2 linked regions of the Drosophila melanogaster genome follow. Changing the gene in region 2 together with the main gene of any one other region gives a genetic interaction. Each region holds a gene or a part of one and is shown on either strand. Other genes may lie near its edges.

The links.
Region 1: of lola (region 2) and for, changing one suppresses a phenotype caused by changing the other (phenotypic suppression), as found in Drosophila melanogaster (one study listed by BioGRID).

What each region holds. Positions count from the first base shown.
Region 1 is NT_033779.5:3,652,719-3,661,378, forward strand, and holds the start of for (foraging), read right to left. Parts: upstream 4,236-8,660; 5' UTR 4,004-4,235; exon of another isoform or gene 3,990-4,003; intron 2,868-3,989; 5' UTR 2,552-2,867; intron 1-2,551.
Region 2 is NT_033778.4:10,536,424-10,545,011, forward strand, and holds the start of lola (longitudinals lacking), read right to left. Parts: upstream 6,869-8,588; 5' UTR 6,482-6,868; intron 5,573-6,481; exon of another isoform or gene 5,418-5,572; intron 5,351-5,417; exon of another isoform or gene 4,922-5,350; intron 848-4,921; exon of another isoform or gene 712-847; intron 698-711; exon of another isoform or gene 527-697; intron 483-526; exon of another isoform or gene 322-482; intron 238-321; exon of another isoform or gene 72-237; intron 1-71. UniProt on the Drosophila melanogaster protein: Putative transcription factor required for axon growth and guidance in the central and peripheral nervous systems. Repels CNS axons away from the midline by promoting the expression of the midline repellent sli and its receptor robo.

The sequences.
Region 1 (8,660 bases), on a different chromosome or scaffold from region 2:
CTGAATGAAAGTAAGGGATCAGGCAACCCGAATGAGAGTAGGGAAAGTGAAACAGCAGAGCACTTAAAAGAAATTGGAATTGATAATCCAACTAAAAATGATGGCATAGAAATTATTAATAGAAGAAGTGAGAGATTAAAGACTAAGCCTCAGATATCCTATAATGAAGAGGATAATAGTCTAAATAAAGTTGTTCTAAATGCTCACACTATATTTAACGATGTCCCAAATTCATTTGATGAAATTCAATATAGGGATGATAAATCTTCTTGGGAAGAAGCCATCAATACAGAGTTAAATGCTCATAAAATTAATAATACTTGGACAATTACAAAAAGGCCTGAAAACAAAAATATTGTAGATAGCAGATGGGTATTTTCTGTTAAATATAATGAACTTGGAAATCCAATTAGATACAAAGCTAGATTGGTTGCACGAGGATTCACTCAAAAATACCAAATAGACTATGAAGAGACATTTGCTCCTGTAGCTAGAATTTCAAGTTTCCGATTTATATTGTCATTAGTAATACAGTATAACTTGAAAGTCCATCAAATGGATGTAAAAACAGCTTTCTTAAATGGCACGTTAAAAGAGGAAATTTATATGAGACTTCCTCAAGGTATATCGTGTAATAGTGACAATGTGTGTAAATTGAATAAGGCAATTTACGGACTCAAGCAAGCGGCTAGATGCTGGTTTGAAGTATTTGAGCAAGCATTGAAAGAGTGTGAGTTTGTAAACTCTTCAGTTGATCGCTGTATATATATTTTAGACAAAGGTAACATCAATGAAAACATATATGTATTATTATATGTAGATGATGTGGTTATAGCTACAGGAGATATGACAAGAATGAATAACTTCAAAAGGTATTTAATGGAAAAGTTTAGGATGACTGACCTAAATGAAATAAAACATTTTATTGGAATTAGGATAGAGATGCAGGAAGATAAAATCTATTTAAGCCAATCTGCATATGTTAAAAAAATTTTAAGTAAATTTAACATGGAAAATTGTAATGCAGTTAGTACTCCTTTACCTAGTAAAATAAATTATGAATTACTTAATTCAGATGAAGACTGCAATACCCCATGCCGTAGCCTCATAGGATGTTTAATGTACATAATGCTTTGTACACGCCCAGATTTAACTACTGCAGTAAATATCTTGAGCAGATATAGTAGCAAAAATAACTCCGAATTATGGCAGAACTTAAAAAGAGTTCTTAGATATTTGAAGGGCACTATCGATATGAAATTGATTTTTAAAAAGAACTTGGCATTTGAAAATAAAATTATTGGTTATGTGGATTCTGATTGGGCTGGTAGTGAAATTGATAGAAAAAGTACAACAGGGTATTTATTCAAAATGTTTGATTTTAATCTCATTTGTTGGAATACAAAGAGACAGAACTCAGTAGCAGCCTCATCAACTGAAGCTGAGTATATGGCCCTATTTGAAGCCGTGAGAGAAGCTCTATGGCTTAAATTTTTATTAACTAGTATTAACATTAAACTAGAAAACCCCATTAAAATTTACGAAGACAATCAAGGCTGTATTAGCATAGCAAACAATCCCTCATGTCATAAACGAGCTAAACATATTGATATTAAATATCATTTTGCCAGAGAGCAAGTTCAGAATAATGTGATTTGTCTTGAGTATATTCCTACAGAGAATCAACTGGCTGACATATTTACAAAACCGTTGCCTGCTGCGAGATTTGTGGAGTTACGAGACAAATTGGGTTTGCTGCAAGACGACCAATCGAATGCTGAATGAAATTTTTATATATATTTTTCAAATTTAAATTCCTGTAAACATATTTTGTTACAATGATCTGATCGGGTTTTTCTGGGTTTTCCCCGTATCCTCGCAGCAAATGCTGGATCAGTTAACACTTCCCAGAATGCACACCACCCACATTTGATAGTTACTAATGAATATTATTGTTATGTTTTTAATTATAGACGTTATTTTTGAGGGGGCGTGTTGGAATATACTATTCAACCTACAAAAATAACGTTAAACAACACTACTTTATATTTGATATGAATGGCCACACCTTTTATGCCATAAAACATATTGTAAGAGAATACCACTCTTTTTATTCCTTCTTTCCTTCTTGTACGTTTTTTGCTGTGAGTAGGTCGTGGTGCTGGTGTTGCAGTTGAAATAACTTAAAATATAAATCATAAAACTCAAACATAAACTTGACTATTTATTTATTTATTAAGAAAGGAAATATAAATTATAAATTACAACAATCACTTTCGGCTCTAAGGCGGAGAAAAGGGCTTAAAGACCCTGAGCCTTAATTGTTTATTCAAAGCACGGACCAGAAAAAGACAGCACTGGAGCAGTCGAAAGAGATGGGTATATAGACAAAAGGGCGCCTTGGCGAAAAAAAAAATTATTCAAAGGCCGAACGATTGTGCAATCACAAAGTTCGTAGGCGGCATAAATCCATAAATAAACAATAAGTATGAATAAATAAGTTGCTGTTCGACAACAGCGAACAGTAATTGCATATTAAAATGGAGCTTACATGTTGGACGAAAAGTGAAGAAATTCCAGGGTCGATGTAAATGTTATGGTTCCAGTCGCAGAGAATCGCTCTCTTTTCTTCTTGTTGTTGCGATCAGCCGGCTTTTGCGAAGAAAGTTTCTTCGTTTCCACTTGTTGATTTGTGATCGGCTGTCTCGCTCGCGCACTCTTCAGTTTCCTCGTTAATTCACAGGAAGCACAGAATTAAGGCCGAAAATATATTTATAAATGAAATGCAGGCGGCACACGAAACTTCGCCATCAATTTAGACGGCCTGCACTTTTGTTTTCTCGAGTCTTTCCACTTGCGTTGCGTTTCTATGAAATTGGGCATTAAAATTTAAATGCTATTAGCCACAGAACACGAACACGAAAGATTGGGAAATGAAATGAAGGAGAGAGAGTGAGAGAGAGTTCTCTCACTCGTCGCTGTTATTGTTATCACCTGAGTCGAATACAGTGGGACCCCCACTTGAAGATGCAAACAAGACTGAGCTTTTACCAATAGTATTCAATAGTTCACTGATATCGATTAAATAATTTTAAAACTTTTGATCAACATTGCTGATTAACGCTTATTGGATTTAAGAACATTCGATTTGTTAATACTTGTGATCTGGCTTAATATGATAATTTAAGTCGAGCCCCACTGTACTCTTTCTCGCGGATTTTATCGCTCACTCTTTTTGTTTTCAGTTCACTCTCTCTCGCTCCGCATAGTTTGACTTGTTGTTGTTTCTGCCAGCGTAGCGTAGTTAACTTGAGCGGCAGCAACAACAACATCAGCCATACTTGTTGCTAAAAATAGTAGCGGCGGCGAGACAGAAACAGAAAACAGAAAAACAGCGCGGCAGAATAAAATATGAAAAGGCGCACAAATTGGAAAAAATTGTACATGACGAGCAACAAAAACAAGCAGCAAGTAACAAAAAGGAGGAGGAGTAGTTACAACAACAACTGAGCTTCTGTTGAAATATATCAGAGAAAAGAAAGGCAAAGAGGCAGATCGGCGTAGAAAGGAAATGCGACGCAAAACTGCAGTCAAAGAATTAGTTGGAATGATGGACTGAAAAGTGTCAAGTTTAGCACGGAAAATTCGTCAGCTGAAGTGCGAAAGAGACAGAGCGAACGAGCAGCTAACAAGTGATTTTCCATGAAATTAATTGCAGACTGCATTTGAATTAATAATTTTCCACTTTGAAATCACAAACTAAAAGAGAGCCGCTCTCTCTTCCACTCTCTTCGCTTAATGCACCAAAACTGCATTCACAATTCACGTTTTACTAATATTTAGTCAACTTTAACCACTGCCTTTGCTTTAATTGCTTTTTAAGGCAAATAGTTGCACATATGGAAAACGCTAGTTGTTGTTTTATTTTAGAATTCAGAATTGAGCACAAATGCTAGATCGTACGACTAGCGAAAGCAGCAACAACTAACCAAGTGGCACGCACACACAAGCACAAGTCGATGAAAAACCACCGAACTAAATGGCGATGTGGATTATTCTGATAAACGCCAATGCCATATATATATATATTTTTTTTCTTTTATTAAGAACTTGTGCCAAAATTTGCAGGAAAACCACGCGTTGCATTGATTCTTATAAAAATGCCGCTAAAGTCAATTCCAAGCACGATCGCGACAAATGACAACCGCACAGCACGAGAAATTCCAACAGACTGAAAATGAAACAAACAACTTACTCGCTACCACTACTCGAATATTATGAAATAAAGAGCACATTAGCATTTTTTCTCTTAATTTTTAAAAAATTATTTTCTCTTCTGATGCAATGTTATGAATTAGCGTTGAGATAGAAAAAAAAAATTTAAAACAATATTATGCTCAATCCTTTCTACAAATTAATTACTTTAATCAAATAACAAAATATTCATATTAATAAAAGTGTACTTTGTTTGTTAACGTAAATATACTATGTGAAAGGAGTAGATTTAGTAGAGTAGTAGAATTTATAATATTTTCCCTGCTAGTTCTCTCAGAGATGATGTATCAGTTTGATTTTAATAATCATTCCGAATGAAATCATCATTGAAGTTGGTCAAGATCGGTCTTAAATTAATCTAGTATTATAAATTGCCAATGCAGGATTAACTCTGCGCCATGATTTATTCAACTTTTCTCGTATACTTTTGGAACTAACAGCACACAACGCCTATCCGTTTACGACAAATGGTGTTTGTTTTTGGAACTAATACAGCGCCATTTTTCATTTTAGTGATTTCTAACTTACGTTGTACGTTACATTTCAGATTTATTATGCATGTAAGATGTAGAATGTCATAGCAACTGGCCGTCATGTATGTAAATATGTGTATGTATAGGCATTTCAGAGCCATTTTCTGCTCATATGTAGGGGTGGAGCCTGAGAAGAGAGAAAATCCCAAAAGGGGAATAAGAAACTGGGAAATTTTACTATTTAACTCGTTTCGTAAGAGGGTATACTAGATTTGTTAAGAAGTATATAACAGGTAGAATGAATTTTCCGATCTTTTATGGTACATAAAAAGACATTTTTTGAAACATGTTGAAAATTCAAAATTTTTTAATTAAACATAAATGTTTAAGTGGAATAAGTAACATATTGTAAAAATTATTTATTAATTTTAACCGTTATTTATGTACAATTTCGTAAGGTTAGAAAAATCCAAGGATCTTTGGTCGGGAATTTCCCTCAAGAAGGCGTTGCAAACTTAAGACCACCCACCCCCAGTATTGTGCCACCCCTCCCCAACTTCGCAACCCTCTTTTCACCCCTCTGCCGCTCTCGCAGTCGACGTCGCCGGGAAGGAAGGAAAGAGATAGCAGCTGGGAGAAAGGACAAAAGGAGAAACGGGTCGGTGGAAAAGGAGGAGGAGAAAGTAGAGGAAAAGTGAGGCGGCAGCAAAAGTTGATTAGATGGATTTCGTTTGGTTTTTGTGTTTTTAATCACACACCAATTTCATTTATTAAATCTTCGCATCAGCATTTCATTTCTCGCATTCCCTATCTTTCTCTTTCCCTCCTTCTGTCTCTTTCGCTTGTGCAGTGCCTTTTTTGTTTGGCTTTGCGACGGCATTTTTGTATTTTCTGTACCGTAGTGTTTGCTCGTTTGGCCTTCTCTTTTCTCTCGCACTCCTGTTTGTTTGTTTGTTGTTTTCCCGTTCACTCATTGTCACGAGCAATTTCACTCTCTCTCCACACCCCACCACCCCCGTCTCTGCCCATCTTTTGGCCCAGGCAAAACTTTTTGCAAAATGAAATTGTTTTCGTATTAACAATTTCATTAAAATTAAATTACTTTTATTATTCCGACAGAATCAGACAAACGAAAGGAGAAAAAAGCCAGCCTCCCCTGCCGCCCCCTCACCCCTTTCAGCCATTTTGGCCCCCCATTCTACCCCCTTATTGTAAATAAGCCAAAAGCTTGGCGTCTGTTTTCTTCAGCTGTCAAACAAATTAATTGCGCTTTTAATTAATTTCGTTGGCTTTTAGAGTGGAAAGATGTGATCTTATAATATATAATATACTAAAAGCTAAATTGTTTAACAAAATTGTTACCCTTTCTTCGAAAAAACACTTATTTCTTGCAATAAAAAAAGAGCCAAATAATGTTCGTCGTAAATAAGAAATTCACCACTTATGTACAGCCGTATGATAAATAAAATATCCTAAATGCGATACCGCATTTCCCAATAAATAACATTGAATAAACGCCATTCCGCATACTTTTGGGCCGCAGCTCCTTTCACTCTAATTCTGTTTAGCCATTTATTTTATTTAGGCATTTCATAGAACGATTACCATGCCACTCCGCCTTTTCTTCCAAATTGTTGTATTCCCAAATTGTAGTCGAAGACATGCCTCCAAATGGATTCCGTGGAAGCCGTTTTGCCTCTTTTAGCCAAATGATGCGTAGGCCATAAAACCGAAAGGCCAACGATGGAGTCTTGGCCATTTGCTTAGGCGCTGGGCGTGGCTCCAGCCCCATACTCACCCAATAATAAATATACACTGACAGATTTGTGTTTAATACTTAAGCGAATTTATAATTTAATATTTACCTTTAAACTTAACATGCAAGTTATTTTAAAGCTCGAAAACATTTTAATATTTTTGGAGTTGTTTTAAATATTTTTAATATTATATAACTTGAAGTGCACTATTTTCCTTTGTGCCTGAAACAATTTTTGATGGCGCCCATAAATTTTCGAGGCTCTTTTCAAGCCTACGAATGCGAGTTGAAATGTCGCATCATAAATAAACGGGCATCGTTTTCAGGAGTCAGGTGATGAAGGCATCGGAATGCCGATAAAAAAGTGGTAAGGGTTGGTTTTTGCCAATGGGAAGTGGCCTCCAAATAAACCGCAATGCAATTTGGTCCAAAAGAAGTTAATAAAATTTCGACAAGCGGAAAGGGGACTTCCGTTGATATTTCATGAGTTTCCTGGGTAGACTGATGCTTATGAGATCAATGGCGTAGGCAATATTAAAAAGGGGTTTTAATAAGATCTTTTCTCAACTTTAAGTTACCTTTCATATTTCTGGTTCATATGCTTCAGCATCTCGATGAGGTCTGAAATGGTTATTAATTGCCCCAAAACCTTTGCCACCTGCCGTCTCGCTTCCCCATTTCGCGCTGTCCCTTTCGGGCGGCTATTCATTTTCGGAGGCTGCGCCATTTTGGCTTGGAAAATTTATAAACGTAATTGAGATGCCTTCGCCGCAGCGCATTTTCCCCACCCAGCACTTCCCAACACCCCCCTTATTTCTCGCCACCCAACTGGCCGCACGTAAAATGCATTAACTGCTGCTTCTGGCCTCGTCCTGGTCCCGGATCAGGATCCGTATCCGGATCCGGTTACAGTTACGGGTTTTCACTCCTGGCAAAAGTCCGAGGCACTCGCAATTTGGTTTTCGGAAAATAAGCAATTTGTAAATTGAAAACGGTCGTTTCAGGGGCCAGCGAGGGGGTTTTTTTGGGGGGGGGGCGAAACTGCAGTTACATGCGGCCATTTACTACGTGGGCGTTGGCCAGGGGGCGTGGCAGGCTAGAACTGGCTTCGCGGAAGCTGGAAATTAATTATTTGCCATTAGGGCTAAGTAGATGATATAAAAAGTGGCAGCAAAGCGTGCTCCAAAAGGGGCAGTGGGTGTGGAAGGCGGAGGGCTGGAAAAAACGTGAAGTGGGGTTGGGGGGGGGTAAATGGATGGCAGACTGGAGATTGTCCTGCTATTGAGGCGGTTTTCTGCCGGGTGGGGCTCAGCTCTGCAGGCAATTTAGACAGTCAAGTGCCCATATAAATTACATAAATTTCACCCAGGAACTGCCGGGCACCGAGAAAATGGTGGAAAAGGGATAATAAATAAGTACTTTAGTTCAAATTGTAGAAAGATATTAGAAGATTAAGAAAGCCAAGGCGTGCTATTTGCTTAAGTTATTAATAAGCGCATCTCTAAGTAATTTTTGTAAAATTATAACAAATAGCTCATAACAACAAAGCTTATCACATAACTGATAACTTCGCCAATATTGACAATTTTATGACAAGCAAACTGTTATAAAATCATCCACCCAAAGTGGAAAATGCAACACGAGTAGTTTCCGTGGATGGAAAAATCTTTTTTCCTCCTCCGAATCGCTGGAAACTCACCTGCCAAAGGAAGAGGCGTTAGAAGCCGAGTGCCACGCCTTCTCTCTGGCGTCCAAAACGAATCCCAGACTCATCTATTATGAAGTAGGTAATTCCACTAAAACGAACCAACCAAGAAAAGCGCCGAAAATGTAGAGGGAGTGGAAAATAAACACAATCAAAGAGGACAAAACAAAATTTAAGCGCAAAATGAAATGAAATTCGGATTGGAAATGAAACTAAAATACAAACTAATGATGGAGGAACGTAGTGGGGCCGCAATCCAGGAGCCTGTGGGTGGCAAAGGAAGTAAGCTAACAATAGACAAAGTCATAAATCAGGGCGCCAATTTGCAGGCCTGACAGGCTACCCCCAAATGAAAGGAGCGGCAGGCGAGGGGAGAGCGTAGGAGAGCCAGAAGAAACTGAATAGTTATCCTGCACGCCCAAAATGCCAAATTCAGAACACTTTAAAAAAT
Region 2 (8,588 bases):
ACCCACAAATGATGTACTATAAATGGGGGTGGAGTAATGAGCACTTGGTGATTGGAGACCAAGACAAGAGACTGAGAGACTGTGTTGAGGTCTACTATCAAACGATGTCCAAAACTGTGTTTTACGGAGCATTGTTAGCGAAAATCTCAACTGGGTTTTCATCTGGCAACTGCATTCGAAAATGTCTGGCAAAAATAAGTCCAAGACACTGTGTAACTGCTGTTGCATATCGCTAATATGTTGAACAAGAGCTTGAGATCACGATTCTTGTTTAAAACATATTATAATAATTATAATTTTCAATGCTCTAAAAACTTTCAATATACGAGAAATTCTGTGCTGAGATCTACTATCAAACTACGTTCAAAATTTGCACTTTACGAAACGTTGTTAGCGAAAAACTCAACAGGACTTTGGTTTAGCAACCGCCAGGATTGTTTGGAGAATATTTAATGCATTTTCCACACGTTTTATGGGCGAGCTGCTGCTTCTAACAAATAACATTTTAAATCATTTAAAAAAGAATTTAAAAAAGAATTTATCTTGTGATGAGATCTACTATCAAACTACGTTCAAAATTTGTTACATTACGAAACGTTGTTAGCGAAAAACTCATCTAATATTTGTTTTAGCAACTGCTGGATCGCAAATAGAACGAATAGTTCGTTTCACACTTTTTATAAGCTAGTTGCTTCATATTTCCTTGTGTTGAGATCTACTATCAAACTACGTTCAAAATTTTCATTTTACGAAACGTTGTTAGCGAAAAACTCAACTTGTTTTAATATTGCAACCGCTGTAGTACGAAAAACTAATGTTATATTTTTCGCAATTTGATTGGGTTGCTGCTTTAATTATCGGCGATCAATGTCAGATGTCAGATTAATGGGTTTTTTTTCTGCAGCATGTAGCGTAAGTTTCTATGTAAGCGCAGATCGGTTTACAATGAATTAAGATTGGAATGGGTACCAGAGATTAGCATTTCCATCCTTTTGTCGTAAACTTGTTTTAGAATTCAGCCATTTGGCTTGGCCCAGCTAGGCTTCATTAATTCTTGCCTCCATGCCAACAGACTTTTCGAGTGCCAGATGGAAATGAAAATGGGATGCGGCGATGTCGGGTGGGATGGGGAGCGGGATAATAATAATATAAAGGATGTCGGGCGATAGCGGTCCCCTTTTTCTAAGCACGCGCCAGACGGCAAAAGGTGAGCCACGGGGAGAACCGAAGCAGACCGGTTTACGCTAAGTTAGGAGAAGGATGAGGGAGAGGGTCCTGTAGGCCGGTCCCGGCCTTTTTTGGGGTTGCAATCAACCCCTAAACTAAGCCGATCCCCCCTCTCCTGATTATGTTCGCTTGTGTATATGCAGTCATAGTCTCCCTTCCTCCCTCCATTTTGCCGCGTCCTGCCGGCCGGCAGATGTTGGATCACAACTGTCGTCCCTTGCGTTTGGGCACACAGGAAGTGCCGCCAAAGTCTGGAGCCCGAGCCCTCCACTGTTTTAGAGTAATGAAAATTCTTGGCCAGCGCCAGAGAGATGGAGAGAGCGCTCTGAACTTGGAAACCATAATGGGGCTGGTTTCAAGACTTCTGTTCTGGGTAGTATGTGTGTAAGTTGTGTGTCTGTGTATGGGTGTTTGTGTGTGCAAAAGTCAAAAGAAAAACCGGTTCGACAGAATGTACAAGAACTGTGCCATTTCGAAAAAACGAAACGGAGGAGCGGGTGGTCGCCCCGTTCTCGGCTGGCAAGTCGAGTTTTGTTTGTTGGTTTAGAGATCCGAGATCCGATCCGATCACTTGGCAGAAAAACCAGTTTAAGAAACTCATTTCATTTCATTTCACATCGCTGCCAGAAAAATCGCCAACACACACACACGCGCACACACACATACACACACTGGGCAGCCGCCAGAAAAACAAATTTAAAATGGAAATAACTTAAGAATAAGAAAGAGGGGGGAGGAGGAAGCGGGAGAGAGCGAGGAAAAAAAGAGTGAGTGGAGGCCAAGAACAAATATAAAACTTCCCCCACAAGATTTGCATAAAGTGGAATCTTTTTTCTGCTCGAACGCATACACACACGCCACATAGACATGTGTGTGCTGCGTTTGTGAGACATAAAATTTGTATATTTACGACGTAAAAATAAACTCGACGACGACTCGACTTCTCGCACTGACTTTCAATAATTTAATTTCTGGCAGCTGAAAATGTTGCTGAATAGCAACGCAGAAACACACACACACACACCATTGAAACTCTGGCGGCTCGAAGCCCAAAAAACGCAAAACTGGGGGAAAAAACACCTCTGAAAACCCACGTATGTAGGCGTCCGTCGTCTGTCGCTCATTTTATTTATTTTTACACCCTTTTAGCCCGTCGCCTTTCTTGTTCTTCACATTGCACATTTAGCAGCAAACAGGCTTGCAAGCAAAGATTGAGAAAAGCCAAGTCAAGTGTGCCAGCCATTCTGAGTCGAGCTGGTAGGTAGTAAACCACGCAAAATACGATTAGTTATTATAATTTCATAGAAAGAAGCTACGTTTTTTGCCAGCTGGATCGCAGTTGTTTTCCATGTAAGTCACATGTTGGTTCCTAAACGCATTGTTCATCATATAGCATATCTATCAGAAATAGTGTATTACTAAAAGATCGTGTGATCAAAGTTCTTGCAACCTTTATACATAATATTTACGAATAACGATAATTTGCATCTGAGAGTTGAAACATATCATTTTCCATTTCCACGCTTCTTTCTTTTTTTTACTTTTCCGCTTCGCTCGCTTCTGTTCGGCCGCAGAAAATGTCGTTTTGCCATTAAAGCAGCGAAAAATGTATAACAACAACAAAAAAAAAAAAAAAAAAAAAAAAAAACGTCAACCACAAAAACTTGTTTTCTCGAAAAGCTATTTAAAGTGAATGTTAAGGGCTTGTTATGCGCGAATGTATCTGTATCTGTAAATGTATCTCAGAGTATTGTATTGTACATTTGCGTGGGAGCGGAGGAAGTCGATGCTTTAGGTTTTCGTGGGGCTATCCATATCTATCATGGGCACCGATGGAGATCTGTCCCGCCGATGATGTCGATTATTCTTCTTTTCTAGATCTCTAGGGCTTTGTTGGTTTTTCTTGAGATTTCTTTGAAGGGCATTATCTACAACTGCCAGTTATGCAAGTTAACGATAAAAAGCAGATCCATTTCTCAATGGTTATCGAACAGTTATGTTACAAGCTAATACTTCAATTTATTTATGACCTATGACACTTAACTATCAACATTAAATCAAATTCAATTTAAGACTTTCCTAATGAAACCAACTACTAGAAACACCTCCTTTAAAGTGCCATATTAGTTTTATAATTTGGATATAGCCACACAAAAACTTGTTAAATACACTGGCCAGTTCAAGTGAAAGTGAAAAAAGTGAGCCACCGAAAATAATCAACAATAAACCGTAAAATAAAACGCAGAAAAGTTCAATGAACTTTTTTGCTAATGGCCACAAAGCGAATAAGTAAATCAAAACTAACAAAAATAAAAGTCGGCCAAAGAGCAGGTTGCGATAACGGCCGCTCATTATTTTTCCCCGCCTTCGTTTTATTTTTTCTATATTTTTGCTGTTTACTGTAAGACAAGAACATTAAGAATAGTGGATAATAGAAAAGTGCGACACATATTAAACTTTTTTTGCACGTGCGTGTGTAGGTCAGAAATTCGATGCAAGGTCATGGTGTTTTAAAAGGAAAAAAAGTTGATGACTTGAAAGAAGTGTACAAGTTTAAATTGTAAACAAAGAATTAAGGCAAGAAACCAAAGAGAAAAATACAGTTTTTGCTTTTCTACACTTGTTGCGCAAAAGCTTTTTTATATCTCATTTATTATTGTTATTATTCTGCACATGTGCGTAGAATGTAAACAAATGAAACTTTTGCAAAAGTCACAAGTGAAATTTAGCAACGTCGCGCAGTCCCATAAAAAAGATTAGGCGACACGAAAATATGAAAAATGGAAATGTGTAAACGTGTCGAAAAGAAAACAACAAAAGCGGCGTAGCAGAAGTGTAGCACAAAGTGGAAACAAAAATATGTGGCGACTGTTCTCTCTCTCCCTTCCTCATCATCCTCCTTGCCTCATGCTGAGCCGTCTGGTTCTCCCACTTTTCTAAGTGTGTGTGAAAAGTGCAGAGAGAAAATTTCACGCTTGTTGTTTTTGTTTTTCGTGAACAAACATAAAAACTGACGAGGGAGTATGACAAAATGAGCGGGAGAGAAAGAAAAGGGGAGCCAAAAGAGCGAGAGAGCCTAGCATTGAACAAAATATTTTATGTGTGGGGGAAAAACCAAGATGGCGGCCACCAAGACTTTGGGAATCTATCGAAATGAAAAACGTGCTTTTTTGTAGGAGTTTATAATAGAAAGCAATTAATTGAACTCGCTCTTGGCAATCTTCGTGTTTACTAATCATAGTTTTTTTTATCAAGCTTTCCCTCGTCGCAATCGGTAATGAAAAGCTTATATAACTTTCCTACTCGCGCACACATACACGTGTACTTGTAGAAAACATTTCCCACTGCAACACTTGACCTCATTTGCATGGAAAGTGAGCCACTGGCAGTGTGTGCGTGTGTGAAAATTAATGAAAACCGCCCGTCATTTACTTCAGCGTTGCATTTTGTGGGAAAGCTCTCCCTCTCCTGCTCTGTCTGTGCCTGTCTCTTTTCGTACATTGGTGAAAAGCTTTCTCCCGTGAAGTGAGCATAGGGAAAAATCGATAGAAACACCACTGGAAGTATCGATTCGATATGCAAAAACACACACAATCTCAGGCAGATAATTGCCAGGTACAGTTCAAATGCAAGTTCTTATTGTATATTATTAAGCGGTACTTTAAAACATTATTGATCAATTTTATATACACACCGAAATAGAATCACAGGCAGCACGTAGTCGTCAATAAACTTTGCACATATCAAATTTTGGTGTTGCTTTTCCAATCCATATATGTATATATATAGTAAAATATATATAATACTAATACACACACACACGATAACGCGACGGGGGGAAAAGCAATAAAGTTGAATTTATTTTTACTGTATGTGATGGGGCCCTGTATGCATGTGTATGTATTTTCCTTTCCCGCTGCCGTGGAGAGCAGAAAGAAAAGAGTAGGCAGCAGCAACAACGCACCACACACTGAAAATTGCGGACGCGCGAAGCCACTGAAGAAAAACTGACGACTGACGCGACTTTCCGCTGGTGCTCGAAAAAACGAAAGGTTCCCATAAGCAGAGACCCCGAAGAGCGCCGAGAGAGTTGGAAACGAAGCCGAAGCGAAACCCGAAGAGTGTGAGTGCGAATGAGAGTGTGAGTTCGAAAAATAAGTTGACGTCGCCTGTTTGCCACCCCTCTTCAGACGTGTGCTTTTTGTATGCTTGGCGCACAGAGTTGCCAATTCACGACAAAAGATCGACAAATTAGGATGATGCAGAAGGAGGACACGCTTTTCATTATCTGGTTGCCACCTAATTTAAGTTCCACATCAAGGAAGAAGGAAATACGTTTCCAACGGACGTCAAATTTACTAACTACACTACTTGAAAAGCCTGTCTATAAAAACACGATAACGTTTTTGCTAATCTCAAGACAATGTTAAATATAATTGGAGAAAGTATTGAATATGAATATCACAAAAATTGTTTAGGGTCTCTACGTGGTAAATAGTATTTGGCATAGACAGTGAGATGTGAGTCGTACGTACTAATTAATAAAGTTGTTCAATAGAACCTCATATACTGTAAGTGACAACGAACGAGGCTGACAACTCTGCTTGCACATATTTGGCGGAGTTCGAAAATATCATTCGCATTGGTATTGTTTTTGTTTTCCACCATGGGGCGAGATTTTGTTGTTGCTTTAGCTTTGCTTGTTTTTTTCGCAGCAAAGCGAAGCCATAATGTTCGAAATGGTAAAATTACCGTTGCCGAGCAAGCTCTCTCTCTCCCCCACTCCGACACCTCTCTCCATCTCTCGTTGCAGTTGTTTAAGGGTGTGCGAGGGAGATGAAAGATGGTCTCGGCTTGTGTGTGCAATGCATTTCCCACTAAAAAGCGCAAATTATATTTTGTGCACTCTCCAAACGTTTTTATGATCGGCGTTGATTTATTTTTGGCTTCCAGCATGACTTCATCGCCGCGCGTTTTCTCTCTAATTTCGGTGTACAAATTATGTGTACCTAAATATGTACCTTAATTTTTAACGGTTTCATCGGGTTTTCAGCTGGAAAATTAACATTTCTGTGCGAAATTCTACACGCATGCCAAATGTTCTAACCAATACTAATTGATGCGAGGAGTGTCGTTTCTGTGGCAAAATCATAAATTCTACAGATCTTTTCGACGGCTACAGTGTGCATATGAAAGGTGAACGTATAGAGATGATGGTCCCCGCATAACATCACGTCGATTGACAATCGCTCACCTGAATTTCCATTGGAGTTTTCATGGCAACTCGGTCACGTTCCCTCTTTCTCACTCCCTCTCTCTCTTTCCCACACGTTGCACAGGAGAGGGGGCGCAAACACTCACAAACACCTATAAATTATTATATATTTCGTCTTTTTGCATTTGCAGTTGAACTTTAATTACAACAAATTATGCACTCGACACAAAAACGTATTTAACATCACATAGTTTTTTCCGTGGGTGTTTTTCCAATCGGTGCTCCGCTTGAATTTATGCAATCCGCACTGTTTTTTAGACTACTAACAATTTATCCTGATTTTTTATGTGGGTGGAAAAGCAACGAGAATTTAACGAGCGGAGCGACGACGATTTTATTCCTGAGAGTTGCCGTTTGTTACTGAAAAATCGCTGCAAAAAAGTTCGAATAAAAGTCGAAAAAAGAAATAGGCTTTGCGTGTGTGTGTGAGCACGAAGTTTTTGCTTTTGTTGTTCTTTCTGCTGCATTCGAAAAACCGAAGATCGTTCGTGCGCTAGAACAAGTGAGTGCGAGCGAGATGGGGACACTCCACGATACAGTTGATTGCTTTTTGCAACTGTCTCGTTGGAAAAAAGCGTTTTGCGCGGGAATTGAGGGGAAGAAAAGAAAGAAGAAGAAGGGGTTGTGGCAAAAGGAAGTCGCGCTAAATGAAAAGGCAAAGAAAATGTGTTTTTTTTTTGCTTAGCACATAAGGAAATATGGCACATGGAGTTCTATGTAAAAAGCTATGTATTTAGATCGTCAAATAAAACGTGGAATTTGTGGGAAACACTTTTATAATACTTTTTGTATGTATAAGAGTTATAATAAGCATAATGAGAGCATGGCATAATACGAGATTTAAGCCACATGATGTACTATGTACATATGTACATAGAAATGTGTGTATGTACATACATAACATAATTTTTAACGAATTCTTATAAACCAAGTGGAAATGTTTCTAAAAAATTATGAAATGTCAAGGTCATACATAATTTACAATGTAGGTTCTACAATTTTTAGAGATTACAAAGCAGTGAGGAACATACTTATGTACATACATTTATGTAATATTTACATAAGTACATAAATATTTATGTGATTATAAATTTATATACATATACATATATGAAAGAATATATACATTCATATATACACAGTTTTTTTTAAGAAGCTTACACGGCAACTGAAATGATCTCACCATGCAGATGCAGAACTTAAAATTTGTAAATGTACATAAAAAGCTAATTTAGGTAATTTTACTACAAATAAAATAAATGCTATTAGCGCTGAAGAAGATAATTCACCAGACACCTGTCATTATTTTTTGCGAGGCAATTAAAATTCCCGACTGGGGAAGTAGAAAGGTGTCAAGAAAAGATTAAACTTTCAATTTATGGATCCACTCTTTTTTTTTGCATTTTGCCATTTTGCATATCTGTTTGTTTTGCCAATTGCTACTTTCTAATAAAATCGTCAATGTTCACGGCACACATTCGTATAAATCTTTGGTCGTTTTTTACCACCGCCTTGCATTAGCAATTGCCAAAACTTGATTTTGATGCTTAAATATAACTGATTACTTGATTTGAGCAAATATATGTACACATGCATGTACATATAAAAAAGTCAGCACAAGATCATAATTACACGAAAAACAAGAACAACAATAATGCTGTTACACGGTGAGAAATACATATGTGTTATGATTAACTAAAGTCAGTAAGCATATTTTTACTGGAATGTAGAATTTAAATTCATTTATGAAACTACATTTTTGCTAATATGCATATAATTTCTAACTGATTTCTAACTCAATTGGCACATTACAATGCCTTGAGAGCAAACGTAAGATTTGGAAAAGTGTTTTGACCGATCTATTACTAATATTTTCTTGCAGTGTAGCGCTGTCGGCGTCGACGCCCGCGCAGCAGCTTAAAAAAGCTGCGCTCAAAGAAATTAACAATAAAAGTTGGAAATTTTGTTCAACGCTTTTTGTTTATTTTTTAATGTTTTTGTGTTGTTGTTGTTGGCTCTTGAATGACGAAGAAAATATTCGCCGAGGGAAAGAAGAAGCAGAGGAACCAGAGTTCCAAAACTCGTT